Linked DNA regions of Saccharomyces cerevisiae S288C. The gene in region 1 interacts genetically with each later gene. Each region holds a gene or a part of one and is shown in the gene's direction. Other genes may lie near its edges.

Region 1 (15,206 bases):
TTTTATTTACTCCAGAGAAAACCGTCATTGATCTTGTATATACTATGTAGAACAGTGAAATATTTTTCCTTTTTTTTTTTATTATCAAGAATCACTTGTGTCAGTTATCGTTAAATTCCAGGTTACAAAAAGATTGTAAATGCCAGGGAAAATACAATTCAAAAAAGTTACAGTATAGTTATATTTAATTACTTAAATTTACTTTTTTTACTATAAGGTGCTATTCCTGCATTCTTTTTTTAATTAATCAGGACTTATAAGCTGATAGTACTTTCATTCTTTTTTTTTTGTGTGATAAGGCCATTGAACATTATGGAAGACTAACTACTTTTTCTTCAAGAAAATTGTGTGCTTCTACTCTCGTTCAATACAGGAAATTTTAATTCCAACAGAGTGGAAATTTATGGTTTTCTTACCACAATAAATTTCTCAATTGTTAAAATCTGAAAAGTTGGCAGCCCTGGCCCTGTCAAAGAAAGTATTATTATGCGTCGCGAAATTTCTTTTTCTTCACGCCTTGTTTTTAGTTTGGGCATCTCGAAAGCATCTAATACAAAATCCAACTAAAGCACAGCATTCAATCTAGTAGAGAGAACAAGAGATATTCATCATGACCGGCATGGAATCAGGAGAGAATTTGGAAAACATGGAAGATATTTTGGCGAGACATCGCAAGGAAAATAAAGATTTACAGAATAAGATAACGGGTATGAAAAAGCAGGCTACTAAATCCAAAAGGAAAGAAGTTAATTCGAAATGCCTAGATCTTCAAGATAAACTAAAGACTAAGCAAGAAAATGAAATAAGGGATTGGAAAATTGCAAATAATGAAGTGTTTGACGCAGAACAAGAAGATGAAGTGACTCCTGAAAAACTTTTAGAACAACTATCCATATCTCGAGATGAGAAAGAACAACAGAATGTTCCCGTTCAACAACAGCAACAAGGCCAGACAAAGAAGCGTCGCAATAGACAAAAGGAAAGATTGGCCAAAAGAGATGCAGCAATTGCTAAAATGAAAGAAGAGGCTGCTTTAGAAGCATCCAAACAACCGGACTTGAAAAAAATGGAGCAGGAGTCTATAGATCAGTTATGCGAGTTGAAGAAACTGAAACAATTCGATATACAACCCGATGGCCACTGTCTCTTTGCATCTATATTAGATCAGTTAAAATTACGCCATGATCCAAAAAAACTGGATCAAGACATGGATGTCATGAAGCTGAGATGGTTGAGTTGTAATTACGTACAGGAGCACAGGGATGATTTCATTCCATATTTGTTTGATGAAGAAACTATGAAGATGAAAGACATTGATGAGTATACGAAAGAGATGGAGCATACAGCTCAATGGGGTGGTGAAATTGAGATTTTGGCTCTCTCTCACGTTTTCGACTGCCCCATTAGCATTCTGATGAGTGGAAGACCTATTCAAGTGTACAATGAATGTGGGAAAAATCCTGAATTGAAGCTAGTTTACTATAAACACAGCTATGCATTAGGTGAGCATTATAATTCATTGCATGATTCTTGATTTTTCCCATCCGTATCTAATGAGATATGCTTATTTGTAAACCTTAATGCATCTATTTAATTGTATAGTTTGAAGCATATGGATATAAAAGAATAAAGAGAAGTAATAATCGGATATGAACATTGGTGGAGGAAAATTTTTACTTGGGAGGATATCGAATAATCCAACTTCAGGGATAGTAGGGCTTGCTAATGTTGGTAAATCGACTTTTTTCCAAGCAATAACAAACTCAAAATTGGGAAATCCTGCAAATTATCCATTCGCTACCATTGACGCAGAATGTGCCAAAGTCAATATACCTAGCGTGCCGCTCTCTAATTTATTGAGAATATATCAGAGTGCGAAATGCGTACCTGGAACACTCACAATATATGATATTGCTGGGCTCACCAGAGGCGCATCTCAAGGCCATGGTTTGGGTAACAAGTTCTTAAACGATATCAGACACGTAGAGGGGATATTTCAAGTGGTGAGAGGATTCTTAAAGGAAGACATCACCCATATAGAAGGTAATGTTGATCCTGTCAGAGATCTATCCGTGGTACAAGATGAACTCATCTTGAAAGACTTAGAATTTCTGGAAAACATTAGGGAAAGACTTAGTAAGAAGATGAGAATGGTTTCGAAGAATTCTAAAGAACATCAGGAAATGAAGATAGAGACAGAATTATTAGATGCATTAGAGGAACATTTGTTTAACGGTAAAAAAATCCGGCATTTCAAAGATCATTGGAACCTGGATGAAGTCAAAATTTTGAATAAGCATAACTTTTTAACCTCCAAACCAACTTTGATATTGCTAAATGTTTCACCTCAAGATTACGTTAGGAATGAAAATAAATTTGTCAGAAATATTATAGAATGGATTAACGAATTTTCGCCAGGAGATAAATTCCTACTTTTCAGTGCAGAATTTGAATCGCAATTGATGGAATGTAAAGGCATAGCGTCAGAGTATTTTGACAAGATCAAGGAAGATACCAATGTTTCTGATCAACAGTTAGTTTCTGCGATACCGCAAATAATACTAGAAATGAGAAAGTTGTTGAACTTAATTAGCTTCTTTACATGCGGCCCACAAGAAGTTCACCAATGGAATATAAGGGAGGGAACCACCGCTCAAGAGGCCGCGGGTGTAATCCATAGCGACTTGCGTGAAACATTTATCAGCGCTGATGTAATAAAATATGACGATCTGAAGAAGATGGAACCACCGCTAAATGAGTCTTTACTAAAATCTAAGGGACTTATCAAACGTGCAGGCAAACAATATATTATGCAGGACAATGACATTGCCTTATTCAAAGCCGCCGGTGGGAAAATTAAGAAATAGTTTGTCATAAAAAATACTTGTAAATATGAATAGAAACGCTTGCTTTGTTTTGTCTTTTCCAATAATTACACAAGAATCAACAAAAGTATGAGATATATATATATATATATATATATATATTATATTTGCATAAGGTTTAACCACTGATAGTAAGACAGAGGTATATCGAGGAACTGTGTTTACCTAGAGTGGGCTGATTCTAATAGTGCAGCTATATGCGAAAATGAGAAAAAAGGAACCGCTGAATTCAATAATATATTTTGGTTAATGGACGAGAAAAAGAGGAATCTAATGGAAATTATTTCCAGTTAGAACCAGCTTAGTTGGAAGCAACAACAACTTCGACATCCACACCAGGTTCAATGGTGATTTGAGTGATTCTCTTAACGATTTGAACAGGAGCTTCCAAGTCGATGTATCTCTTGTGGATTCTCATTTCGTAGGTTTCCCAAGTCTTAGAACCTTCACCATTTGGAGTCTTTCTGGTGGAGATCTTCAAAACCTTGGTTGGTAGTCTGACTGGACCCTTCTTGACCAAGTTGTGTTGTTCAGCGTTCTTGACAATGTTGGAAGAGACGTTTTCCAATTGCTTAACCTTGGTGGAGGTCAAAGTGATTCTAATCTTGATGATTTGTTGTTGTTGTTGTTCTTGTTCTTCAACCTTTTCCTTTTGAAAGTCAGACATTTTGTATATACCTTTTTGTTTATTTTACTTGCTTTCTTGTAGGAGTTTCAATCTAAAGCTGAGCTTGAATGAAATAACCCATCTTTACTATTATTTTGAATTCAATACGGTCTATTACTCAATCTCTGAGGCTAGTCGCGAATGCGTCGAAGTTTTTTTTTCAAAATTAAAACATTATCGTTACCCGAACTTTATCTTCATAAAAATAGTTGTGGCATTTTTTCTCTTATGTTTACGGATGTAGAAAATGTACAGGTGTGAACTTGCAGGTAAACATTTTTACATTTTTACTTTTATCTTTTCCCCTTCTATAGAGATAAAAATAAGAAGTTTCAGGGAAATCTCTCTTTCCATAGTAAATAGTGTTAGCAGCAGACAAGACAAGAAGGATATCAATGACGATACGCATTTTTCCGAATGATCTGGTCAGATAATTCTTTTTTTCCCTTTATCGGGAGGTTTTGATGAGAAAACGATGTCAATAGTATTCTAGTCACAATAGGGAGCTAGACGGCTATTCAATCAGAATGCGACTATCCGGAGTTATCCTCAATGATAGACGTTTCTCCAGTTAGGAGCGCCAAGAATGTGTGAACAAAATGCACAAGGTGCAGATTTGGCGCTCTTTATCAGCGCTTCATACGGTAGATATGAACTTTAATTTTGAGATTAGCCAAGACCAAAGGTTCTCTTAAAGATGCAAAAGCAGTCATACAGGTATTTGTTTTATGCAGCAAGGCTGACTCAAACTAGGCATTCCAATTCTGTTTATCTATTGGTGCCGCACCTTTTTTCCGATGATGAAATGAGGCGGCGCACATTTGGGTGTTATCTTATCGGGATATTTTATGATAGCAAATGCGACAGACAATAATGCTCGAGAGTGGACAGGCCAATAGTCAGTTGCAGCATAGAAACAAGCAGGCGTACCTATGGGAAAGGTGTAACTCATCATTGCGCTTTCTACGGTACGGTTATCCTTAGATAACAGGCAAGATGTGCTCTATTCATCGGTGTTGCATGAAGATACGTCTTGTTCGCCAAGTATATAAAATGAAGCAGTAGTATAGCCGTAGCTTTACTATTGTTAGCAGTTTCCCTTGTCTAGATTCTTAAATTGGGTTCATCCAAGAAAAAGTAATAACATAAATTTGTCATTGTTATAGTATGGGAGAATTTAAACCTCCGCTACCTCAAGGCGCTGGGTACGCTATTGTATTGGGCCTAGGGGCCGTATTTGCAGGAATGATGGTTTTGACCACTTATTTACTGAAACGTTATCAAAAGGAAATCATCACAGCAGAAGAATTCACCACCGCCGGTAGATCTGTAAAAACCGGCTTAGTGGCTGCAGCCGTGGTTTCTAGTTGGATCTGGTGTTCTACATTGTTAACGTCGTCAACAAAGGAATATGCAGACGGTATATTTGGCGGTTATGCGTACGCTGCTGGCGCATGCTTCCAAATTATTGCATTCGCAATTTTGGCAATTAAAACCAAGCAAATGGCTCCCAATGCGCACACATATTTAGAATTAGTGAGAACAAGATATGGTAAGATCGGCCATGGTTGCTACTTGTTTTATGCCATCGCGACGAATATTTTAGTCACTTCAATGCTTTTAACTTCAGGTTCTGCTGTCTTTAGTGATTTAACCGGGATGAACACTATCGCATCATGTTTTTTACTGCCTGTGGGTGTTGTTGTTTATACTCTATTTGGTGGGATTAAAGCAACTTTCTTAACGGACTATATGCACACATGTGTCATTATCATCATTGTCCTCGTATTTGCCTTTAAAGTTTATGCGACTAGTGATGTTTTAGGCTCACCGGGAAAAGTTTATGACTTAGTTCGTGAAGCCGCCAAGAGGCATCCAGTAGACGGTAACTATCAGGGTGAATATATGACCATGACATCCAAATCCGCTGGTATTTTATTAATTATTAACCTGATTGGAAATTTCGGCACCGTTTTCCTTGATAATGGTTATTGGAATAAAGCGATTTCTGCTAGTCCCGCAGCGAGTTTGAAAGCATATGCCATCGGTGGGTTAGCATGGTTTGCAGTACCTTCTTTGATTTCATTGACCATGGGATTAGCATGTCTTGCGGTGGAAACGTCTCCGAACTTCCCCACCTATCCTGATCCACTTACTTCGTTCCAGGCAAATTCTGGGTTAGTCTTGCCGGCAGCTGCAATTGCTATCATGGGTAAGGGGGGTGCTGTGGCATCGCTGCTAATGATTTTCATGGCCGTCACATCTGCTATGTCTGCTGAACTAATTGCCGTTTCATCTGTTTTCACTTACGATATCTATAGAGAATATATTGATCCTCGTGCAAGCGGTAAGAAATTGATTTACACATCACACGTTGCTTGTATCTTTTTTGGTCTTGCCATGAGTGGATTTTCGGTTGGTTTATACTATGGTGGTATTTCTATGGGTTATATCTATGAAATGATGGGTATAATTATTAGTAGTGCAGTATTACCTGTCGTTTTGACCTTATGTTCCAAAGACATGAATTTGGTGGCCGCTGTAGTGTCGCCTATTTTGGGCACAGGACTGGCTATAATGTCATGGCTTGTCTGTACCAAATCCCTTTATAAAGAATTGACCGTGGATACTACGTTCATGGATTATCCAATGTTAACAGGTAACTTGGTGGCTTTGCTATCACCAGCCATTTTTATTCCTATTTTAACGTATGTGTTTAAGCCACAAAATTTTGACTGGGAGAAAATGAAAGATATTACTAGAGTTGACGAAACTGCAGAGTTAGTTCAGGCTGACCCTGATATCCAGCTTTACGATGCTGAAGCTAACGATAAGGAACAAGAAGAAGAAACAAATTCTCTGGTCTCAGATAGTGAAAAAAACGATGTTAGAGTAAATAATGAAAAATTGATTGAGCCTAACCTTGGTGTTGTAATAAGTAATGCCATTTTTCAAGAAGATGACACACAGTTACAAAATGAATTAGACGAAGAACAAAGAGAACTAGCACGTGGTTTAAAAATTGCATACTTCCTATGTGTTTTTTTCGCTTTGGCATTTTTGGTAGTTTGGCCCATGCCCATGTATGGTTCCAAATATATCTTCAGTAAAAAATTCTTTACCGGTTGGGTTGTTGTGATGATCATCTGGCTTTTTTTCAGTGCGTTTGCCGTTTGTATTTATCCACTCTGGGAAGGTAGGCATGGTATATATACCACTTTGCGAGGCCTTTACTGGGATCTATCTGGTCAAACTTATAAATTAAGGGAATGGCAAAATTCGAACCCACAAGATCTGCATGTAGTAACAAGCCAAATTAGTGCGAGAGCACATAGACAATCATCACATTTCGGACAAGTTGATGAAATAATTTAGCTTTCAAAATATAATATTCTATCCACTCATCAACCTCATTAATAATTTTTAAATAGCTCTAATTATAAAATAGTCTTTCATTATAGGTACATAAAAGAAAAGAAAGTCAAGGGGAAAAAAAAAAAAAAAAGGAAATTTCTAAATTTATGTTATTTGGTCCGTTTATGTAGTACTTCTATCATTTTTTGCATCTCTGTCGTAATCTACGTCGAACAATACGTCATTATTTGCGTTCGTATTTGCATTTACACTTGGCACTTCTTCAAAATCGGATGCTAAATCAATATCCATATTGTGATCGTGTTCCTGGTAGTCATTACGTGGCTCTCTATTAGGCAATGCCTCATCAGACAAGGAATTTATGTCATCTAAATCGAATTCTGATACATTTTCCATGTCAGTTGGTAATTGATGCGAGCACGCTAGTAAATATGATGTACTTGTAGGTCTCCAGAAGAATGCGAAAATGACGAAGACCAAGAAGTAAACGAAACTAGGCCAAGTATCTGTGATGAGGAATTCTGTTTTCCAATATTGTTCTATCATGTCAACAGTGTCCATACCGACGTATGCAAAAGTAGAGACTAGTAAGCCTAAGAAGAGTATAAACAACGAAATATAACACAATATGATCAGTTTTCTGTACATGTTTAATTTCACCACTTGGTTTTGTTCCCTCAAATAAGTCATTGTTTTGTTCATTGAAGACAGTGTCAAATAATAGAAAGCGAATAGACATAATACTAAGGGGATAGCAGTAATCAAAATCAAATTGGATAAAGACTCAGAATTCTGGGAATATTTTTGGACCAGGAATGCAACGCACACTGCAAACGTAAATATCGCAAATATTTGACATCTTCTTAGCAATGTACGGTCCAGTTTTGGATATACTATACCATATCCAAGAGATATCAGCAAGGCGAGGAGAAGCGTGAAAGTCATCTTACCGGCGCTAAAGATCGATATGAAAACCATATAGACATGAAGAGCGACGCTGGAGTTTCCCTTCTGGTTCTCAATAATATAGTACATCCAGACGAAAATAGTATCAGCTGTTAGGAAAATACAAAATACCAAAATGTACCTTTGTAAAGGCAGTAACTCATGTCTATGCTTCCAGCATAGCCAAGAGTACACTAATGTACAGACGGCATAAGCGACGGCCAAAAAGGCATAAATAGGCATCTTGTACGCCTCTGAAGCGTCCAATTGACCGTAAGCGTTCCTAAAATTCACTGTAGCCTTAAACTTGGAACTGGAAGAAATGAAAGATGACGTGGTCACACAATAGTAACCAGTTTTGTTAATTGAGTATACCTTGTCGTTAGTGCCCAATTCTTGTTGAGTGAAAGTCAAAATCTGACTCGTTAGCTTATGTTCCTTACTGGTGAACGGATCGATGGCTGTCTCTTGAATGATAAATTGCCCCTCCGACGAATCCTCACAGAGGCCCAAATCCAATGCGTAGTCATCGCAAATATACTGAATTTCTCCATTTGGTAACCGCACACCAATATGCTCATAATCTTGGAAATCAAACACAGCAACACTAACCCCCTCGCCATCATCGTCTTCATCAGCAAGTGACAATTCCTCCAACGTAAACGATATATAGGGGTCAACTTTTCCATTGAAATCCTCCTTGGAATACATCCCTGAACAGACATCGTGATATTTTTGATTTATGCTTTCTTGGTTCCCTTGAACTACCCCACAGAGTAGCAACAGCCACGTCAGTAATAGCCACGTTCTATCCATTTTTCTGTTCGCTAGTTATTGTGTCTAGTTTGCCCAAAAATGATTTACACAATACAGTTGAAATTTCAATACCTTTTTTTTCAATTTTCAGTTTTTCCATGTTGCAATGCGAGAATGGGTATGGGTAGCAAAAATTTCTAGTAGTAAAATCGATAGGAAAAAAAAAATGGAAAGAGCAATAGCCTTTTAGACCTGCCCTGCCTTATCAAGTTGTCATCTCATCGATGTAGGAATCTATTCTCTTGGCCATCCGGACGTCTATATCGCTAAGCTGGCTGTGAGCCCCGTCTTTCGGGTCTATGTCATGCGTATGAAGTTCCAGCTTGACCCAGGTGTAACTTGTGTGAATCAGGGGATGGTGGCCCCATAGATGAGATCTCATCGATACACGAGTCAAAAAGGCCCATGTGGTTTCGTAGTCCTTGAATGTTACCTCTCTTGTTATTCCCAAACATTTGGTCTTATTAGGGTCCCATTGAACTTCCCAACGGGTCAAGGGTTTTAGCTTCTCGAGTAGTTTGCCCCCTGTGAGTGCACTGGACGCGATTCTAACAATCTTGTTGTGCATTGTATTCTTACTTTGGTTTCTTTCTGCTTTTGGTAGGTTGTGTTTACTGTTTTATAACTGGAAGGGCTTAAATTCCAGATTGGAAAATTGAGAATGCCTTGGACAAAAAGCAAATAAAGGGACCCAAAAATAGTAAAGAGGAAATCAGGAAGGAAAGGCATGTCGTCAAGCCTTTTTATCCTGGATGAAAATCTGGAGCCATTGGTATCGAAGAATATTAGAGCACTACCGAATCTATCGTCGGTTCTTTCAAGTTTCAAACAATGTTATCATGACGGGTCGCCTCCAATTCTCTCCCAAAACGATTGGTTCTTTATACATTTGAAGAGAGACTTTCTGCATTTCGTTTCAGTGATACATACCACAGACAAACCAAATATAGACTTAATGACTATACTAGCCTTTTTGGAACAATTTTATCATCTTTTACAAAAATATTTTGAAATCGAGGTCTTAACTAAGAATGTCATACTGGACAACATCTTACTTGTCCTGGAGTTGATTGATGAATGTATAGACTTTGGTATCGTACAAGTGACGGATCCAAGTATCATCAAGGACTACATTCGTGTGAAGGTCAACGTACCAAGAGTTACAGTAGACAATGAGGAGTGGAGCCCTGGTGAAGAGAGCAGTAGTAGTAGCGGTAGCGATAGCGATAGCGAGTACAGCAATACTAATAAGAGGAAGGATAAGAAGAAGAAAAGGAAGAAGAAAAAGGGCACTAAAGGGAAAAGCGTGGGCAAAAGTAAATTAAAAAGTATAATGGTAAACAATAAAGAAAATAGGGGCATAAACGTGGTGGAAACTGTCAAGGAGACACTAAGGAACAAGAATGATACCGGTAAAGAAGCCGCTAATGACGAGCTCCCCAATGACGGTAATGATTTATACATCAATGGCGATATTGCGAAGACGATTATAATGCCCATATCATGGAGAACAAAGGGGATACATTACGCCAAAAACGAGTTCTTTCTTGATGTTATTGAACGTGTTCAGTACTTGATGGATTTTGAAAAAGGAGTGATTAGGAAAAATCTGATACATGGAGAGATTGTGTGCAGATGCTATTTATCAGGGATGCCCAAACTGAAAATATCCATAAACAAGATACTGAACAGGGACCCCCAGTTCATGTCGAATTCCAGCTTTCATCAGTGTGTTTCACTAGATTCCATAAACACTATTGAAAAAGATGAAGAAAAGAATAGTGACGATGATGCTGGTTTGCAGGCCGCCACAGATGCAAGAGAAATCGAATTTATACCGCCGGATGGCGAATTTGTTCTTTGCCAATACGAGTTGAAGAGACATGTAAAGGATGCGCCGATGGTGAGGTTGAAAGATTTTGAAATCAAACCTAAACTGAAGAAGTTTAAAATCCAAATTGTAACCAAAATTCAAACAAATTTTAAACCCACCAACTCAACGTCGAAGCTAAACGTGAGAATTCCCCTGACAAAAGTCTTCCAGGAATATAAAATAGACCTCAGCAAGCAAATTAGATTCAAGGCAAACATCGGCAAGGTCGTGTTTAACTTGAGTGACGATTTTCTCCTCTGGGAGATACAAACCATGAAGGGGCACCGAGAACATAGCACAAACAAGAGCTCACAGTACAACAGCGACGAAGATGATCCAAATACGTGTGCATCCATGGTGGCAGAGTTCCCCCTCTTCAACCAGGAAGAATATGACCGCCTGCAAGAAGAAATGAAAACCTCAATGAATCCGCCGCCCTTGCGCACGGGACCCAGGCTGGAAGAACTATATAGACAAGTGCACGACCAACAAACTTCCCACGTTACTCCTCGAGATAAGTTGGTCAACATTGATTTCGAGATTCCGTACTGTACATGCAGTGGCCTGAAAGTTGAGTACTTGAAGGTCGAAGAGCCACAATTGCAGTACCAGTCTTTCCCCTGGGTCAGATACAAGACCGTCAGCGACGAAGAGTACGCATATATTGTTTGACGCTTACGCAGACATCTCATAGATAGACAAATGGTACGTTCGTTTTAGTATATAGATGGCACCTTATAATCTTCATATGCAACCGGGTAAAATCGGGCGTTCTTATTTTTTTTTTTTCCACCTCAATGAGAGGGATTAATAAGAGGATTGGAGCAAGACAGCGATCTGCACTTAGCCAAGAAAGCATATCAGGCCAGAACGTGGCATTTTGTTTACAGTGCTGATTAAAGCGTGTGTATCAGGACAGTGTTTTTAACGAAGATACTAGTCATTGATGTCTGAAAATCAACGTTTAGGATTATCAGAGGAAGAGGTAGAAGCGGCTGAAGTACTTGGGGTGTTGAAACAATCATGCAGACAGAAGTCGCAGCCTTCAGAGGACGTCTCACAAGCTGACAAAATGCCGGCAAGTGAGTCGTCTACGACGCCGCTAAACATTTTGGATCGCGTAAGTAACAAAATTATCAGTAACGTAGTGACATTCTACGATGAAATAAACACCAACAAGAGGCCACTGAAATCAATAGGGAGGCTGCTAGACGATGACGATGACGAGCATGATGATTACGACTACAACGACGATGAGTTCTTCACCAACAAGAGACAGAAGCTGTCGCGGGCGATTGCCAAGGGGAAGGACAACTTGAAAGAGTACAAGCTGAACATGTCCATCGAGTCTAAGAAGAGGCTTGTAACGTGCTTGCATCTTTTAAAGCTGGCCAATAAGCAGCTTTCCGATAAAATCTCGTGTTTACAGGACCTTGTTGAAAAGGAGCAGGTGCATCCTTTGCACAAGCAAGATGGAAATGCTAGGACGACCACTGGAGCTGGCGAGGACGAGACATCGTCAGACGAAGACGACGACGATGAGGAGTTTTTTGATGCCTCAGAGCAGGTCAACGCCAGCGAGCAGTCTATTGTGGTGAAAATGGAGGTGGTCGGCACAGTCAAGAAAGTCTACTCGCTGATATCGAAGTTCACAGCAAATTCGCTGCCGGAGCCCGCAAGATCTCAGGTTCGGGAAAGTCTTCTAAACTTACCCACAAATTGGTTCGACAGCGTCCACAGTACATCACTGCCGCATCATGCTTCGTTTCATTATGCCAACTGTGAAGAACAAAAAGTGGAGCAACAGCAACAGCAACAGCAACAGCAGCAGCAGCAGCAACTTTTGCAGCAGCAACTCCTGCAACAGCAACAGCAAAAAAGGAACAAGGATGGCGACGACTCAGCCTCGCCGTCCTCCTCCGTAACTGCGAATGGGAAAGTACTCATTCTCGCCAAAGAATCCCTGGAAATGGTGAGAAATGTCATGGGCGTAGTCGACTCCACGTTGGGCAAGGCTGAAGAATGGGTGAAGCAGAAACAGGAGGTAAAAGAAATGATCAGGGAGCGTTTCTTGCAACAGCAGCAACAGTACAGGCAGCAACAGCAGAAGGATGGCAATTACGTAAAGCCCTCTCAGGACAACGTGGATAGCAAGGACTAACCGAGACAGATTGAGGTCTTTCATGCATTACCACCAGTAATAATATTATACGGAATAATATAGTTTATATAATATCCATAATCATAATCATAATCATAATCATAATCATAATCGTGATATTGTACCAGCCCCGCTTCTCCCCTTTTGAACTACCATTATTATCGGACCCTCTTTACCTTTGAATGGCTCAGTAAGGACCTTTGCGCAGCCGTAAGGGGGTCGGGAATACATTTCCGGGGTTGATCCTCGAGGAAAAGTGCTATCTATATAAGGAGAAGCCCTTCTAGATCCAAATATCAGGGGTAACTCTTCACAACTGGCCAGGAACATATTCCAAGTTAAAAAGAAAAAATAATTATTAGAAACCAATTACCAACACAAGATGCTAAGATCAAATTTATGCAGAGGATCTCGAATCCTTGCAAGACTGACCACTACACCAAGGACATACACATCTGCGGCGACAGCTGCGGCTGCGAATCGGGGACATATCATCAAAACATACTTCAATAGAGATTCTACGACAATTACGTTCTCCATGGAGGAGTCCAGCAAGCCGGTTTCCGTTTGCTTTAACAACGTTTTTCTTAGAGATGCCTCCCATAGTGCCAAGCTGGTGACCACGGGAGAACTGTATCATAACGAGAAATTGACCGCTCCTCAGGACATTCAAATTTCTGAGGACGGAAAATCTCTAGTGGTGAAATGGAAAGATGGCGGTCATCACCAGTTCCCTTTACAATTCTTTATCGACTATAAAGGTTCCAGTTTTGTTTCGCCAGCAACAAGAAAACAAGAATCCAGATATAGACCCCAGTTATGGAATAAGCGCATCCTGAAAGATAACGTCAAGGACTTACTTTCTGTGAGCTACAACGAGTTTATTGATCCTAAGGATGACTCCAAGCTTTTCCAAACGCTGGTCAACCTACAAAAGTTTGGTATCGCTTTCATTTCCGGTACTCCTTCATCCTCCTCTGAAGGCCTTACCATACAAAAGATCTGTGAAAGGATCGGACCCATAAGATCGACTGTACATGGTGAAGGTACATTTGACGTGAATGCATCCCAAGCGACAAGTGTTAATGCCCATTATGCCAATAAAGACTTGCCGCTACATACGGATTTACCATTTTTAGAAAATGTGCCAGGTTTCCAGATTCTACAATCTCTACCTGCTACAGAAGGGGAAGATCCCAATACTAGACCCATGAATTACTTCGTGGACGCATTTTATGCTACCCGTAATGTTAGAGAATCGGATTTTGAGGCTTATGAGGCTTTACAAATTGTTCCTGTAAATTATATATATGAAAACGGCGATAAGAGGTACTACCAATCCAAACCTTTAATCGAACATCACGACATTAACGAGGACAATACTCTTCTGGGTAATTATGAGGCCTTGATTAAATGCATTAACTACTCTCCACCATACCAAGCACCTTTCACTTTCGGAATTTATGATAAGCCCTCAGATCTAAATAATAATCTGGACTTGAATTTAATTACCACCCCAGCAAAACTAACAGAGAGATTTTTGTTTAAGTCTTTCATTAGGGGGTTGAACTTGTTCGAGAGTCATATCAATGACTTCAACAATCAATTTAGATTGCAGTTGCCCGAAAACTGTTGTGTTATCTTTAACAACAGGAGAATTTTGCATGCTAACTCTTTAACAAGCTCAAACCAGCAATGGTTAAAGGGTTGCTATTTCGATTCTGATACTTTCAAGAGTAAATTAAAGTTCTTGGAAGAGAAGTTTCCTCATGACAAATAACTTCATTTTTTCAGCATAGTTATGTGATTCTTTATATTTATTTATTTTCTCTCTGTGTAGTGACAATTTTTTTTTTAATGTTTCATGTTAAATATATTTATTTTAAGAAGCCGTCAGTTTCCTTTTGTTTCATTGAAATCAATAACTAAAATTAAAATTATAAAAGGAATAACGTAAAAGAAAGTCTACTACCCAAGGAAAATCTACTTTATTTAGTGATTATATCCAACTAAATATCATTCAAATAACCTCACATATTTGTCTTCACCCTTAAGATTTTACGATTTACTAAGTTCACCTTCTCATGGCTTTGGAGGGATTGCGGAAAAAATATAAAACAAGGCAGGAATTGGTCAAAGCACTCACTCCTAAAAGACGGTCCATTCACTTGAACTCCAATGGTCACTCCAACGGAACTCCCTGTTCAAACGCAGATGTTTTGGCTCATATTAAGCATTTCCTGTCATTGGCGGCTAATTCATTAGAGCAACATCAACAGCCTATTTCAATCGTCTTTCAAAACAAAAAAAAAAAAGGCGATACAAGCAGTCCTGACATTCACACAACATTGGACTTCCCTTTGAATGGCCCGCATCTATGCACTCATCAGTTCAAGTTGAAAAGATGCGCAATCCTTTTAAACTTATTGAAAGTCGTTATGGAAAAATTACCGCTAGGTAAAAACACTACAGTGAGAGATATCT
Region 2 (15,765 bases), on another chromosome or scaffold:
GCAACGCTGCATAAACGCTGTTGGTGCCGTAGACATATTCGAAGATAGGATTATCATTCATAAGTTTCAGAGCAATGTCCTTATTCTGGAACTTGGATTTATGGCTCTTTTGGTTTAATTTCGCCTGATTCTTGATCTCCTTTAGCTTCTCGACGTGGGCCTTTTTCTTGCCATATGGATCCGCTGCACGGTCCTGTTCCCTAGCATGTACGTGAGCGTATTTCCTTTTAAACCACGACGCTTTGTCTTCATTCAACGTTTCCCATTGTTTTTTTCTACTATTGCTTTGCTGTGGGAAAAACTTATCGAAAGATGACGACTTTTTCTTAATTCTCGTTTTAAGAGCTTGGTGAGCGCTAGGAGTCACTGCCAGGTATCGTTTGAACACGGCATTAGTCAGGGAAGTCATAACACAGTCCTTTCCCGCAATTTTCTTTTTCTATTACTCTTGGCCTCCTCTAGTACACTCTATATTTTTTTATGCCTCGGTAATGATTTTCATTTTTTTTTTTCCACCTAGCGGATGACTCTTTTTTTTTCTTAGCGATTGGCATTATCACATAATGAATTATACATTATATAAAGTAATGTGATTTCTTCGAAGAATATACTAAAAAATGAGCAGGCAAGATAAACGAAGGCAAAGATGACAGAGCAGAAAGCCCTAGTAAAGCGTATTACAAATGAAACCAAGATTCAGATTGCGATCTCTTTAAAGGGTGGTCCCCTAGCGATAGAGCACTCGATCTTCCCAGAAAAAGAGGCAGAAGCAGTAGCAGAACAGGCCACACAATCGCAAGTGATTAACGTCCACACAGGTATAGGGTTTCTGGACCATATGATACATGCTCTGGCCAAGCATTCCGGCTGGTCGCTAATCGTTGAGTGCATTGGTGACTTACACATAGACGACCATCACACCACTGAAGACTGCGGGATTGCTCTCGGTCAAGCTTTTAAAGAGGCCCTAGGGGCCGTGCGTGGAGTAAAAAGGTTTGGATCAGGATTTGCGCCTTTGGATGAGGCACTTTCCAGAGCGGTGGTAGATCTTTCGAACAGGCCGTACGCAGTTGTCGAACTTGGTTTGCAAAGGGAGAAAGTAGGAGATCTCTCTTGCGAGATGATCCCGCATTTTCTTGAAAGCTTTGCAGAGGCTAGCAGAATTACCCTCCACGTTGATTGTCTGCGAGGCAAGAATGATCATCACCGTAGTGAGAGTGCGTTCAAGGCTCTTGCGGTTGCCATAAGAGAAGCCACCTCGCCCAATGGTACCAACGATGTTCCCTCCACCAAAGGTGTTCTTATGTAGTGACACCGATTATTTAAAGCTGCAGCATACGATATATATACATGTGTATATATGTATACCTATGAATGTCAGTAAGTATGTATACGAACAGTATGATACTGAAGATGACAAGGTAATGCATCATTCTATACGTGTCATTCTGAACGAGGCGCGCTTTCCTTTTTTCTTTTTGCTTTTTCTTTTTTTTTCTCTTGAACTCGAGAAAAAAAATATAAAAGAGATGGAGGAACGGGAAAAAGTTAGTTGTGGTGATAGGTGGCAAGTGGTATTCCGTAAGAACAACAAGAAAAGCATTTCATATTATGGCTGAACTGAGCGAACAAGTGCAAAATTTAAGCATCAACGACAACAACGAGAATGGTTATGTTCCTCCTCACTTAAGAGGAAAACCAAGAAGTGCCAGAAATAACAGTAGCAACTACAATAACAACAACGGCGGCTACAACGGTGGCCGTGGCGGTGGCAGCTTCTTTAGCAACAACCGTCGTGGTGGTTACGGCAACGGTGGTTTCTTCGGTGGAAACAACGGTGGCAGCAGATCTAACGGCCGTTCTGGTGGTAGATGGATCGATGGCAAACATGTCCCAGCTCCAAGAAACGAAAAGGCCGAGATCGCCATATTTGGTGTCCCCGAGGATCCAAATTTCCAATCTTCTGGTATTAACTTCGATAACTACGATGATATTCCAGTGGACGCCTCTGGTAAGGATGTTCCTGAACCAATCACAGAATTTACCTCACCTCCATTGGACGGATTGTTATTGGAAAACATCAAATTGGCCCGTTTCACCAAGCCAACACCTGTGCAAAAATACTCCGTCCCTATCGTTGCCAACGGCAGAGATTTGATGGCCTGTGCGCAGACCGGTTCTGGTAAGACTGGTGGGTTTTTATTCCCAGTGTTGTCCGAATCATTTAAGACTGGACCATCTCCTCAACCAGAGTCTCAAGGCTCCTTTTACCAAAGAAAGGCCTACCCAACTGCTGTCATTATGGCTCCAACTAGAGAGTTGGCCACCCAAATTTTCGATGAAGCCAAGAAATTTACTTATAGATCCTGGGTCAAGGCCTGCGTCGTCTACGGTGGTTCTCCAATTGGTAACCAACTAAGAGAAATTGAACGTGGTTGCGATCTTTTAGTCGCTACTCCAGGTCGTTTGAATGACTTGTTGGAACGTGGTAAAATTTCTTTGGCCAACGTCAAGTATTTGGTTCTAGATGAAGCTGATAGAATGTTGGATATGGGTTTCGAACCTCAAATTAGACATATTGTCGAAGACTGTGATATGACTCCTGTTGGTGAAAGACAAACTCTGATGTTCTCAGCTACTTTTCCCGCTGATATCCAACATTTGGCCCGTGATTTCTTAAGTGACTACATCTTTTTGTCTGTTGGTAGAGTCGGTTCTACTTCAGAAAACATTACTCAAAAAGTCTTATACGTTGAAAATCAAGATAAGAAGTCAGCCTTATTGGATCTATTGTCTGCATCCACTGACGGTTTGACTTTGATCTTTGTCGAAACTAAGAGAATGGCAGATCAATTGACCGATTTCCTGATCATGCAAAACTTTAGAGCTACCGCCATTCATGGTGACCGTACCCAATCTGAGAGAGAACGTGCCTTGGCCGCCTTCAGATCTGGTGCCGCTACTTTATTGGTTGCCACAGCTGTCGCAGCTAGAGGTCTAGATATTCCAAACGTCACCCACGTTATCAACTACGATTTACCAAGTGATGTCGATGATTACGTCCATAGAATTGGTAGAACTGGTCGTGCCGGTAACACCGGTCTTGCCACTGCCTTTTTCAACAGTGAAAACAGTAACATTGTTAAAGGTTTGCATGAAATTTTGACTGAAGCTAACCAAGAAGTCCCATCATTCTTGAAGGACGCTATGATGAGTGCTCCAGGTAGCAGAAGCAACAGCCGTAGAGGCGGTTTCGGTCGCAACAACAACAGAGATTACCGTAAGGCCGGAGGCGCTAGCGCAGGCGGCTGGGGCTCTTCAAGAAGCAGAGATAACTCTTTCAGAGGCGGTAGTGGCTGGGGTAGCGATTCCAAGTCTTCTGGCTGGGGTAACAGCGGTGGTTCAAACAACTCTTCTTGGTGGTGATTTCAGACAAACTAGGGTGAGGATTCTTCGTTTTCTGCTCTAGCATGTCTTATATTTTCTTTCTCCAATCACTTTTTTTATCCAAGTCCTGAAAATACTGTGTTGTTTGTTTCTCTCTAGCCGTTGATTGGCCCCATATTTTTTTTATTTTCTCACTGGGAGCCACTAATCTGTTACTTTTTTTCCACTCTTATTTTTTATCCATCGTTTTTTTGTTTTTTTTTTCTTTCATGGTTCTAATATTATTTTACAATTGTACTATAAAATGCCTTTGCTAATATTAACTAAAAAACTAAAGATTTCACTATGATTATAAGCAATTAAGATTTTCATCTTTTAGTGAAAAGATGAAGGAATTATTATCTACTTTTACTATATTTTCCACTATTTTTGCTTAATTGCTTTAACCGATCTATTCATTGGACTGATTATTTACATTATCTTTTATTTCCACTTCCACTTTTTCAGTTTTCTTCGAATAGAGACTTTATTTTGAACAGTTTTTTCGACCTTTTTTGTTTGTTATTGTTTCTTTTTACCTTACGAAAATATTCTTACTGTTCACAGTACCATTGTATAATAGTATTCATTTCCTTCCTACATTTTCTCTCCCTTTTTTGAGTTGAGGCCTTTTTATTGACTCGCCTTATACTCTACTTTATTTGTGTTTTGTAGATAGAATAAACATCAACAGTATAATTCATAATACTTTCTATTGCTTATTTCCTGTATATTCGTTTTTGAATATACTTTGTTCCCAACTTTCTTTTTAGTTTACTTACATTCATATTTACATGTGCGTTACTACTTATTGGTGCAACCAAGTGAACAGCGAGTCTTACCATTGGTAGTACCAATAGGGATTCTTTTTTTTTTCTAGGTGTTGAACCAAATCATAAGGATCATCGTCGACAAATCTTCTAGCAGATAAATCTTTCTCGGTTTTTTCTAAATACGACTTCTTCACTGCGTTCAAAGTATCAGCTTCATCCGGGGCCATCTCATACAGGGAACTGATGATCGGTCTATCTCTGGGACAGCTTGACTCTTTACCATTTGTTTCAATGTAACGCTGGTAGCCAGACTCAATCAAGTTTTCTAGCGGTTCCCTTATACCTACTTGGATACCCCTAGGTATCCATATCTCATGTAGTCCTTTGAACTCATACCTCCCAGTTGTCCTTAATAAAATATATCCTATATCTTTCAGAACGATCTCTATACTTCCAATAAATGGAGGTATTGCGTACCTTTTGTACTGGCTTTTTTCGCATATAACGCTTTTAATTCCACAATACCGTGATAACGGATGTGTGCCAGATGATGAATTGCACGAGTTGAATACATCAATACCTTTTTCAATGTTCTTGAATGTTTTTGATGGTCCTGGTATGTATTTCACAATCTGATTTATGGATCCTTTCGGAGGTACCAGGTAGAAAATCCCTCCCACGGTATAACAGCCTCCCTGTGATGTGCCCTTCATAGACTCATAAGTCTTCTGTTTTATATGCTTCCGATTGAATAAATCGGTTTTTCGCAGCCTTTGAAGCCAACGCTCGTCGATTAGTTCTTCTAGGCGTAATCTGGAGGTGGAAGTTGAATAGCCTGGAAGATCAAAAAGTATTTTACCTCCAACTTGGTAGGCTTGTACGGATCTAGTTAAATTGGGAATATGTGATACACCAGCAGCTTGAATCTTGAAAAAATTCTTCGGGTTCGTAAAAGCTTCTTGCATCACTTCTTCAGAGGGGGAGTTAATTTTCCCAGTAGAATCAATTTTAACCTTATATCCAAGATATTTCTGTAGTAGAGTATTGATCAAAGTTGATTTACCAACATTAGGGTTGCCTAGCAAATATGTGTAGTTTTTAAAGTAGTTGTAAAACATGGATATGTTCCAGTTTTTCAGCGCAGATATGGCGAATGTTTTATTTGAGTCAATTCTTAAAGTGTTCTTTAAAAATTGCTTCATGAATATAGGAACCTTTTTGCTGACAGCATTTTTATCTTTAAAAACTTGATCGCTTTTCGTTAACACTAATGTAGTATCTAAATCATTTCGTTTCAAAACATTGGGGTCTAAATGTAAGGGAAATTCTACAAAGGGGACAATATGCATAACATTTGAGCCTCTGGGGACGTAGTTCAGAATATCATTTAATGTGCTTTCGGGAAACTCTTCCGGGTTATAATTGTTATGATGAAGGGCATTACTGCACCTTTTGCAAATCACTCTCAATAGTAAATCTCTTTTGGTTTTGAGGTCAGGATCATTTTGAGTTGCCTGTTTCGAGAGCTGTATGTCTTGACTGAATAGCAAATACTTCAGATCTTGGAGGTCAGGATTTAGTTTTGAGTCGGGTAGACTTTTTGGCTTCGTATAATATCCTGGTTTACTAGGATCCTGATCCTGTAGTTTTATGGAACATGACGCACATTTCACTTTCACAATCACAGAACAGGAAAACTGACGTACGCCTCGAAGAGCATGACACAGATTCAACATTCCCGCATATTGAATTGTTCAAAGTAATTAGACGTGTTACTAGGAAGGTCCTTCGTTAATATTGCTCTGTTAAATGTATCTTGACCCATAACATCAAATAGTAGTTATCATCTTCGACGAGTTTTGAAAAATTTTCTGAATTTTTTCTTCCGATGAGATGAGCATGATATTTACAGAGAAAATAGAGAAACAGAATACTTGTACATGGGTAAATTCATTTATACTAATTTTTGAATTGTAAGAGAGATAGAGAAGGTCAACAATAGAATAAGTGGAGATGGGTAAAGTTTCTAAATCGACCAAGAAGTTTCAATCGAAGCATTTGAAGCATACTCTAGACCAAAGAAGAAAGGAAAAGATCCAAAAGAAGAGAATCCAAGGCCGTCGTGGCAACAAAACTGATCAGGAAAAGGCCGATGCTGCTGGTACTAGGGAACAACAGCAGTTGAAAAAATCTGCAAAGGAAGAGGTTTTTAAGGACATGTCTGTCGAAACTTTTTTTGAAAAGGGCATCGAAATTCCAAAAGAGAATAAAAAATTGAAGAAAAAAACTACGAAAGAGCAATCTGATGAAGATTCCTCCTCTTCCGAAGAGGAGGAAGACATGGGACAAAGCATGGCAAAGTTGGCCGAAAAGGATCCCGAATTTTATAAGTATTTGGAGGAAAATGATAAAGATTTATTGGACTTCGCAGGTACCAATCCATTGGATGGAATTGATAGTCAAGATGAAGGTGAAGATGCTGAAAGAAACAGTAATATTGAAGAAAAATCTGAACAAATGGAGCTGGAAAAGGAAAAAATTGAGCTTTCTTTGAAATTGGTTAGGAAATGGAAAAAACAACTTCATGATTCTCCAAGCTTAAAATTACTAAGGAACATAATCAGTGCTTTCAAGGTTGCTGTAAATTTGAACAAGGAAGAAAACATCGAAGACTATAAATATGCTATCACTGATGAGAAAGCATTCCACGAATTGATGTTCATGGTCTTGAAAGATGTACCACAAGCGATTCAAAAGATGGCCCCATACAAGATTGTAAAAGGCGCAAGGACCTTACCAAATGGAGGTAACGTCTCCAGGGTCTCGTCCATTGTCAAGTCGCATGCTGGCTCTTTGTTGATTTTATTGAATGATATTACTAATACGGAAACAGCAGCATTAGTTCTTCATTCTGTCAACGAATTGATGCCTTATCTTTTATCATACAGAAGGATCTTAAAGGAGCTTATTAAATCAATTGTTGGAGTATGGTCTACAACGAGAGAATTAGAAACCCAGATTGCTTCTTTTGCCTTTTTGATCAATACCACCAAAGAGTTCAAGAAGTCTATGCTAGAAACAACCTTAAAAACAACGTACTCCACTTTTATCAAAAGTTGTCGTAAAACGAATATGCGTTCTATGCCACTGATTAATTTTCAAAAAAATTCGGCAGCTGAATTGTTCGGTATCGATGAAGTTCTAGGTTACCAAGTTGGATTTGAGTATATTAGGCAATTGGCAATTCATTTAAGAAATACAATGAACGCGACAACTAAAAAATCCAGTAAAATTAATTCCGCAGAAGCTTACAAGATTGTATACAACTGGCAATTCTGTCACTCCTTGGATTTCTGGTCTCGTGTACTATCGTTTGCTTGTCAACCAGAAAAGGAAAATGGCAGTGAATCTCCTTTACGACAATTAATTTACCCATTGGTTCAGGTTACTTTGGGTGTAATCAGATTAATCCCAACACCACAATTCTTCCCATTAAGATTTTATTTGATTAAATCACTTATTAGACTTTCTCAAAATAGTGGTGTTTTTATTCCAATATATCCTTTACTTTCTGAAATTTTAACCTCAACGGCTTTCACTAAGGCACCCAAAAAGAGCCCTAACTTGGCTGCTTTCGATTTTGAGCACAACATCAAATGTACGCAAGCTTATCTGAATACAAAAATATACCAAGAGGGTTTGTCAGAACAGTTTGTGGACTTATTGGGCGATTATTTTGCTCTGTACTGTAAAAACATTGCATTTCCTGAACTTGTAACACCGGTTATTATCTCTTTACGCCGTTACATCAAGACTTCAACTAATGTCAAACTTAACAAACGTTTATCAACTGTTGTAGAAAAATTGAACCAAAACAGCACATTCATCCAAGAAAAGAGATCAGATGTTGAATTTGGGCCAACAAACAAATCTGAAGTTTCAAGATTTTTGAATGATGTAGCTTGGAATAAAACACCTTTAGGTTCTTATGTTGCAGTACAACGTGAAGTTAAGGAAGAAAAGGCCAGATTAATGAGAGAAAGTATGGAAGAACAAGACAAAGAAAGAGAAACAGAAGAAGCAAAATTATTAAACAGTCTGGAAAGTGATGATGACAACGAAGATGTTGAAATGTCAGACGCTTAACAACTCAGCAAGATTTGATTTTTTGTCTTGAATTCAATAGTTAAGTCTATAAATGTGTAAAATAAAGAAAAGTCTTTTTTAAAGCGTATATATCATTGTGCTCACATGTGCTAACATGTGAGCACTCCAAGCTTTCTCTTGTCAGCTGGATATTTTTATATTTTGGCCGGTTTATGGATAGAAAACACGTCAAACGTTCGATGGATCTTATAAAAAGTAATGATGTAAAGCAAGGTACAAAAATGAAAGAAGTACGGTTTACTGTTATATAATTTTCGAAATCGTTCAACTCTCTTAAAGTTCCTCACGAAATAGATATGATTGCTAACATAACGCAAAATTTAGTACAAGATATATGATTTCTTACTGCTGGAAGATATCTTCCAATCTTAATCTTGGGGCTATGTTCATGGATAATAATTCCTGGAATAACAGTTTTGCTGCATATGGAATAGTCATCTTAATAATATTCTCAGCACTTTTGCAGGTAGTACACCAACCACTATAGCCCATTAATCCACATTTATCGCAGACATCAACTTCAAAAGCATCTGAACTAATCATCAACCTTTCTAACAGCAATTGTGAAGCACCATACGCGATTACACAATCCCTCTCCATCTCACCCAACCTCAGACCACCATCTCTAGATCTACCCTCAGTTGGTTGACGTGTCAAAACAGCCCTTGGACCACGAGCTCTTGCATGCATCTTATCTAAGACCATATGCTTTAACTTTTGATAGTAAATGGGGCCAAAAAAGATGTAAGCCTGTAAACACTCACCTGTTATACCTGAATATAACATATCCTTACCGGAATAGTTGAAACCTTGGTCTACCAAAATCTTAGACATATCTTCAAGTTTAGAACCACCAAAACAAGTACCATATTCCAATGTACCATTCAATACACCAGCTTTACCCGATATCAGTTCGATCATTTTACCCACAGTCATACGAGATGGAAAACCGTGAGGGTTCATGATAATGTCTGGAACTATACCTTGATCGTTGAAGGGCATGTCTTCTTGCTTTACAATAATACCACAAACACCTTTTTGACCATGTCTAGAAGAAAATTTGTCACCTAATTCTGGCCTTCTGTTTTGTCTTAGCAAAACTTTGATTAAAGCTTGATCGTTATCCGAAACAGACATCATAACTTGGTCAATGTGAGAAGGTTCTGGACCTCTATATATTACCGGAGCTTCCCTATATTGAGTTTGGACGTTTACGTTGTTTGGGTTTGGGGCGTCTGCTGAGTTAGTTGGAACTGACTTATTTATATAAATTTGTCCACTTTGGACCTTCATACCCACCTCACCTAGACCATCAGGACCAAGAGATTGATGTTGCCAGATAGGATCTCCATTTTCATCAACTCTCATACCACCGATGATATCTTGGGTATGGTTCGCATATCTTTTCAAAACAGTGGTTGTCTTTCTACGTGTTTCGCAACGGCCGAAACCTCTATCGATGGATGACTTATTCAAAACCAAAGCATCTTCAATATCATAACCAGAATAGGACATGACAGCAACCGTAGCATTTTGACCAGCAGGTAATTTATCATAATCGATCAATTCAATTGTTTTGGTTTTCACCATTGGCTGTTGTGGATAAGTCATCAAGTATAATAATGTATCTATTCTCTTGAATTGATTGTAGGCGATTGCACCAATCGCTTGCTTACCCATCGCACATTGATATGTGTTACGAGGGGATTGGTTATGATGTGGATATGGAATTAAACCAGCAACAGCACCTAAAATTGTGAATGGCTCGATTTCTAAATGTGTCATCGAGGGAACTATATCTTTTTCATACAATGCAATGTAAGAATCGTTTTCTTCATTGACATCTAAATATTCCACCAATCCGAGTTTCAAAAAATCATCGAAATCTAACTCACCATCTAATAATTTGCGTAAATGAATATCTTTCACGCGAGATTGACCATCAGAAACAATGATTAATGGCCTACAAATTCTACCACCATCTGTTGCAATATGAACTGCCATTTGGTGAGAATTTGAATAAATTGAGATAAACTCCGACACTTTACCTGTTCTTCTCAGATGTCTGAACTGAGTAACGAATTTTGTTGGGAATCTGATTGAACCAATTAAAGTACCATTCAAATAAACACCATAGTTTAAATGCAAGGATGCACTGTCAATCAATGTTATGTCTTCTACACCAAGAACATAACATAATTTCTTTATAGGTTCCTCTTCGTCATCTGTAGTAATATGAGTCATTAATGCTAAATTTTTCACTAGACCACACGCCTCACCTTCTGGAGTATCTGCAGTACAAAGCATACCAAATTGAGAAGGTTGTAATGCTCTTGGACCGGAAACTTTTCTTGATTTTTCAAACTGAGAAGAAATTCTTGTCATCATACCCAATGCGGAAATATAAGATAGTCTGGAAAGAACATGTGTAACACCCGCTCTTTCCATCTTAAATCTTTTAAGAGACCAATTACCGGTTGAGATAGCTCTGTTCAGTCCGCTGGTGATGTTATTTGAATGGACGTTAATTGACAATAATGCATCGTATTCCATAGCCCTATTTGGTTTTTTCAAGACCTTATCAATGCTTAGTTTAAAATCATTATTAAACTTTTTGAACAAATCTTCGAACAATAAAGAAATCAATTGGCCTGCTAATTCAAGACGTTTATTACCAACATAATCTCTATCATCAATCATCTTAGGGTTATACATTGCCATCACCACCCTGCGCGTCATCATGGCAATATATAAAGCCTTTTCTCTAAAGTCAAGGGCTTCCACAGTCAAATGTGCAATAACCGTGGTAGCAATGGCCTCTATACCCTCTTGCAGGATAGTCAGTTTTTGCCTTCTCATTGTCTTTACTTTTGCACCAATATACTCTAAAGCTTGCTGTTGTGTGTAAATATCTAATTTCGAAGATTCTTCCAAATTGACTGCAAAAATATCTTGGTAGCTACTATCATTACCGCAAACCAATTGCATAATTTCTAAATCTGATAAAATACCACAGGCTTTGAGAACAATAGCAATAGGAATTTCTTCAGCGATGGAATTGTGCTTCAAATAGATCTTGCCATTTTTGGTAATGACATAAGTCTTAGATTTTCTTTCATGGGTAGATGAAGTAACGGAGGCCTGAACAATGCCTTTCTTCTCATCTGCCTCCACAATAATACGATTCTTGGATAATTGTTCTTGAACAAGAATTACTTTTTCGGTACCGTTAACAATAAAGTAACCACCAGGATCCAACGGACACTCGTTTAATTTAGCCATTTTCGATTCATCAGCATCATATAGGATACATTTATTAGATCTCAGCATGATCGGCATCCTACCAATTTCCACGTCTTTATGCATAATAATGTTTCTACCTCTAGTGTATTCTATATCCACGTAGATTGGTGCAGAGTATGTCATATCTCTAAGCCTACACTCATGAGGCGGAGTCAAATAATCTTTTGTCGAAGAAGAGGACTTCTTACCCACTCTAATATCGACGTACTTCAGGTAGAATTCTGGATCAACATCACTCAAAATTAATTGATTTGCCTTTATAATTTTTTTTAAATCTGTATCAACGAAGTAGTTAAATGAGTCAAGATGTTGCTTCACCAAACCTTTAACCTTCAAGAATGCTGGTAAAAGGTGCCACTTATCCTGAGCAGTATTGATTTCATCAGTTAGTTTCTTACCTTTATATACTGGTTTCAATAAATCATCAAAAGCCTCGTCTTTCACATGCTTATGTATATGAGTTTTCCGTCTTTTTGTCGCAGCAACCATTTTTCAACAAGCACTAAGTCCCTAGCGATTAAAACGCTCAATTATCAACACTTTAAACTCCCTTTAATTCTTTCCTAACTTGTCCATATATCATCACTTAAGCATAGATCGAAAAATTTTCAGCTCATCTCACAATTACAATTTCGTCCGACGTGATCTGGAAAATACGCGCCTGCTTTATGGAACTATTTATATCTTTATGTGTAGTACACCTAACAATAAGGAATATATAAAAATAATGCACCTATTAAAACCTTTGGGAAGTGCCAACTTTGAATCATCATCTTTCTTTGAACACCGCGCTGCGACCTTTGACAAGAAAGACGAGATCACTCAACCTGACAGACCCGATTCCCCTGGTTCCCCTCTTCCGCTTTGCACAGCCCTTTTCGCTTAGTTTGGAAGCCTAGGTCCGATCCCCAGTGCTATTAATAGTTTACAATAAAATAGGATCGACGTTGCTATTGATGGATCGCATAGCACAGCAATATCGTAATGGCAAAAGAGACAATAACGGCAATAGAATGGCTTCTTCCGCTATATCGGAAAAGGGCCACATACAAGTCAATCAAACTAGAACACCTGGTCAAATGCCCGTCTATAGAGGTGAAACTATAAATCTGTCTAACCTTCCCCAAAATCAAATTAAACCGTGCAAAGATTTGGACGACGTTAACATACGGCGGAACAACTCTAATAGGCATTCTAAAATACTTTTACTAGATCTGTGCGCTGGCCCCAATACCAACTCATTTTTAGGCAATACCAATGCTAAGGATATCACAGTTTTATCGTTGCCGCTACCCAGCACTTTGGTGAAAAGGTCGAACTACCCGTTCGAGAACTTACTAAAGAATTACCTTGGATCTGATGAAAAGTATATTGAGTTCACAAAGATCATCAAAGATTATGATATTTTCATTTTCAGTGATTCGTTTAGCAGAATTTCGAGTTGTTTAAAGACAACTTTTTGCCTCATTGAGAAGTTTAAAAAGTTCATCTGCCATTTTTTTCCATCTCCTTATTTGAAATTCTTTCTTCTCGAAGGCTCTCTGAATGATAGCAAGGCCCCCTCATTAGGAAAAAATAAGAAAAATTGCATCTTGCCCAAATTGGATTTGAACTTGAATGTAAACTTAACTTCAAGGTCAACTTTAAATTTAAGAATAAACATACCTCCACCCAATGATTCAAATAAAATATTTTTACAGTCTCTGAAAAAGGATCTAATTCATTATTCTCCTAATTCTTTGCAAAAGTTTTTCCAATTCAATATGCCTGCTGACTTAGCACCTAACGACACGATTTTACCGAATTGGCTAAAATTCTGCTCCGTAAAAGAAAATGAAAAGGTAATATTAAAGAAACTCTTTAACAATTTTGAAACTTTAGAAAATTTTGAAATGCAAAGATTAGAGAAATGCCTGAAATTCAAGAAAAAGCCTTTACATCAAAAGCAGCTATCACAAAAGCAGAGGGGTCCGCAATCCACGGATGATTCAAAATTATATTCTTTAACTAGTTTGCAACGACAGTATAAAAGTTCTTTGAAAAGCAACATACAGAAAAATCAAAAGCTAAAATTAATTATACCAAAAAACAACACATCTTCTTCGCCATCACCATTATCTTCCGATGATACTATAATGTCACCAATAAATGATTACGAACTTACTGAAGGAATTCAGTCTTTTACTAAGAATAGATATTCTAATATCTTACCTTACGAACATTCAAGAGTAAAGTTACCTCACTCCCCGAAACCACCTGCAGTTTCTGAAGCATCCACAACCGAAACTAAAACAGATAAGTCATATCCGATGTGTCCCGTAGATGCAAAAAACCACTCCTGCAAACCGAACGACTATATCAATGCGAACTATTTGAAGCTCACGCAAATTAATCCTGATTTCAAGTATATTGCTACCCAAGCTCCGCTTCCTTCTACGATGGATGATTTTTGGAAGGTTATTACTTTAAATAAAGTTAAAGTAATAATATCATTGAATTCTGACGATGAATTGAATTTAAGAAAATGGGATATTTACTGGAATAATCTGTCATATTCCAACCACACTATCAAACTTCAGAACACCTGGGAGAATATTTGCAATATTAATGGCTGTGTTCTCAGAGTCTTTCAAGTCAAGAAAACAGCTCCACAAAATGATAATATCAGTCAAGATTGTGACCTTCCGCATAATGGTGACCTTACTTCCATTACCATGGCTGTATCCGAGCCGTTTATTGTTTACCAATTACAATACAAGAATTGGTTAGATTCATGCGGCGTAGATATGAATGACATCATTAAACTACACAAAGTCAAAAATTCGTTATTGTTTAACCCGCAAAGTTTTATTACAAGCCTCGAAAAGGATGTTTGCAAGCCTGATTTGATAGATGATAATAATAGTGAGTTACATCTCGATACAGCAAATTCATCGCCACTATTAGTCCATTGTTCTGCAGGGTGTGGAAGAACAGGTGTTTTCGTTACCTTGGATTTCCTACTAAGTATTCTTTCACCTACAACAAATCACTCAAACAAGATTGATGTTTGGAATATGACTCAGGACCTTATCTTTATCATAGTGAATGAATTAAGAAAGCAAAGGATTTCAATGGTACAGAATCTAACTCAATATATCGCTTGTTATGAGGCATTATTAAATTATTTTGCCCTGCAAAAGCAGATAAAGAACGCGTTACCTTGTTAATAGAATTGTTTTTCTCCTATTATACAAACACTTTTCGTTTTGATAAATTACATAACCTCTCGTTGCATTTTATTTCATTATATAGATACATTAAAAATAAAAAAAAATAAATCTACAATTAACAATCTCCTCATAAAGAAACACGGGTTTTTTTACGTACTCGCAACTTCATATAATGTTTTATTTTTGCGATATCAGCTGCATATCTATATGTCATATTTATAAAATCGCAGAGATGTCAGTACCCATAACTGAATAATTAGGTCCATCTGTGCGCTTCGTTATCACCACTCCAACTTCGTTCAGTATATCCCAATTCCTCTTTCACTCTCTTCACAGTGGCAGGATCTCCCATATTTTTACCTAAGTTATCAGAAATTTTGATAGCGTGATTACCATTTACTTCTAATAGTTTGATAACGATGTTTAACGGCTCACTTTTAACCTGGGGTTCTGACTTCTTACGAAAATCATTAGTAAAGTTTGTGCCAATACCGAATGTGGCTAGCATTCCATTCTCTTTAGCTGCATGGGAGTAAGTTATTGCCTTTTCGACGTTCAAAGAATCGGAATAACAGATAATCTTCGAGAATTTAGGCAATTTCAACACGTCATGGTAATGGTGGGAAATCTTTTTGGTATACTCAACTGGGTCTCCAGAATCTTGTCTAACACCGACGTAAGCATCAGAATATGGTGGACGGAATGATTTTAAAAAGTCATCAGTTCCAAAAGTATCCGTTAATGCTAAACCAGCATTTTTTGCACCAAAAGTATTGATCCAACAATCCATTGCATTTTTATTGGCATGCAAATAATCTTCACTAATAGAAGCGACTCCCATAACCCACTCGTGAGCCACAGTACCGATTGGCTTGACTCCATAT

Evidence for each region.
Region 2: mutations in YLF2 (region 1) and DED1 together harm fitness less than expected from each alone (positive genetic interaction), as found in Saccharomyces cerevisiae (2 studies listed by BioGRID).

Annotation. Positions count from the first base shown.
Region 1 is NC_001140.6:63,758-78,963, reverse strand, and holds YLF2 (Ylf2p), read left to right. Parts: upstream 1-1,649; coding exon 1,650-2,867; downstream 2,868-15,206. Other genes in the region: YHL012W (UTP--glucose-1-phosphate uridylyltransferase), read right to left, coding at 1-28; deubiquitinase OTU2, read left to right, coding at 611-1,534; 40S ribosomal protein uS10 RPS20, read right to left, coding at 3,187-3,552; YHL015W-A (uncharacterized protein), read right to left, coding at 4,182-4,265; DUR3 (Dur3p), read left to right, coding at 4,720-6,927; YHL017W (uncharacterized protein), read right to left, coding at 7,090-8,688; MCO14 (4a-hydroxytetrahydrobiopterin dehydratase), read right to left, coding at 8,894-9,256; APM2 (Apm2p), read left to right, coding at 9,416-11,233; transcriptional regulator OPI1, read left to right, coding at 11,508-12,722; AIM17 (Aim17p), read left to right, coding at 13,105-14,502; and 1 more. UniProt on the Saccharomyces cerevisiae protein: Hydrolyzes ATP, and can also hydrolyze GTP with lower efficiency. Has lower affinity for GTP.
Region 2 is NC_001147.6:721,300-737,064, forward strand, and holds DED1 (DEAD-box ATP-dependent RNA helicase DED1), read left to right. Parts: upstream 1-1,611; coding exon 1,612-3,426; downstream 3,427-15,765. Other genes in the region: MRM1 (Mrm1p), read right to left, coding at 1-409; imidazoleglycerol-phosphate dehydratase HIS3, read left to right, coding at 647-1,309; GEP3 (Gep3p), read right to left, coding at 4,265-5,935; mRNA-binding ribosome synthesis protein NOC2, read left to right, coding at 6,213-8,345; DNA-directed RNA polymerase III core subunit RET1, read right to left, coding at 8,709-12,158; tyrosine protein phosphatase PTP2, read left to right, coding at 12,626-14,878; NPT1 (nicotinate phosphoribosyltransferase), read right to left, coding at 15,138-15,765. UniProt on the Saccharomyces cerevisiae protein: ATP-binding RNA helicase involved in translation initiation. Remodels RNA in response to ADP and ATP concentrations by facilitating disruption, but also formation of RNA duplexes.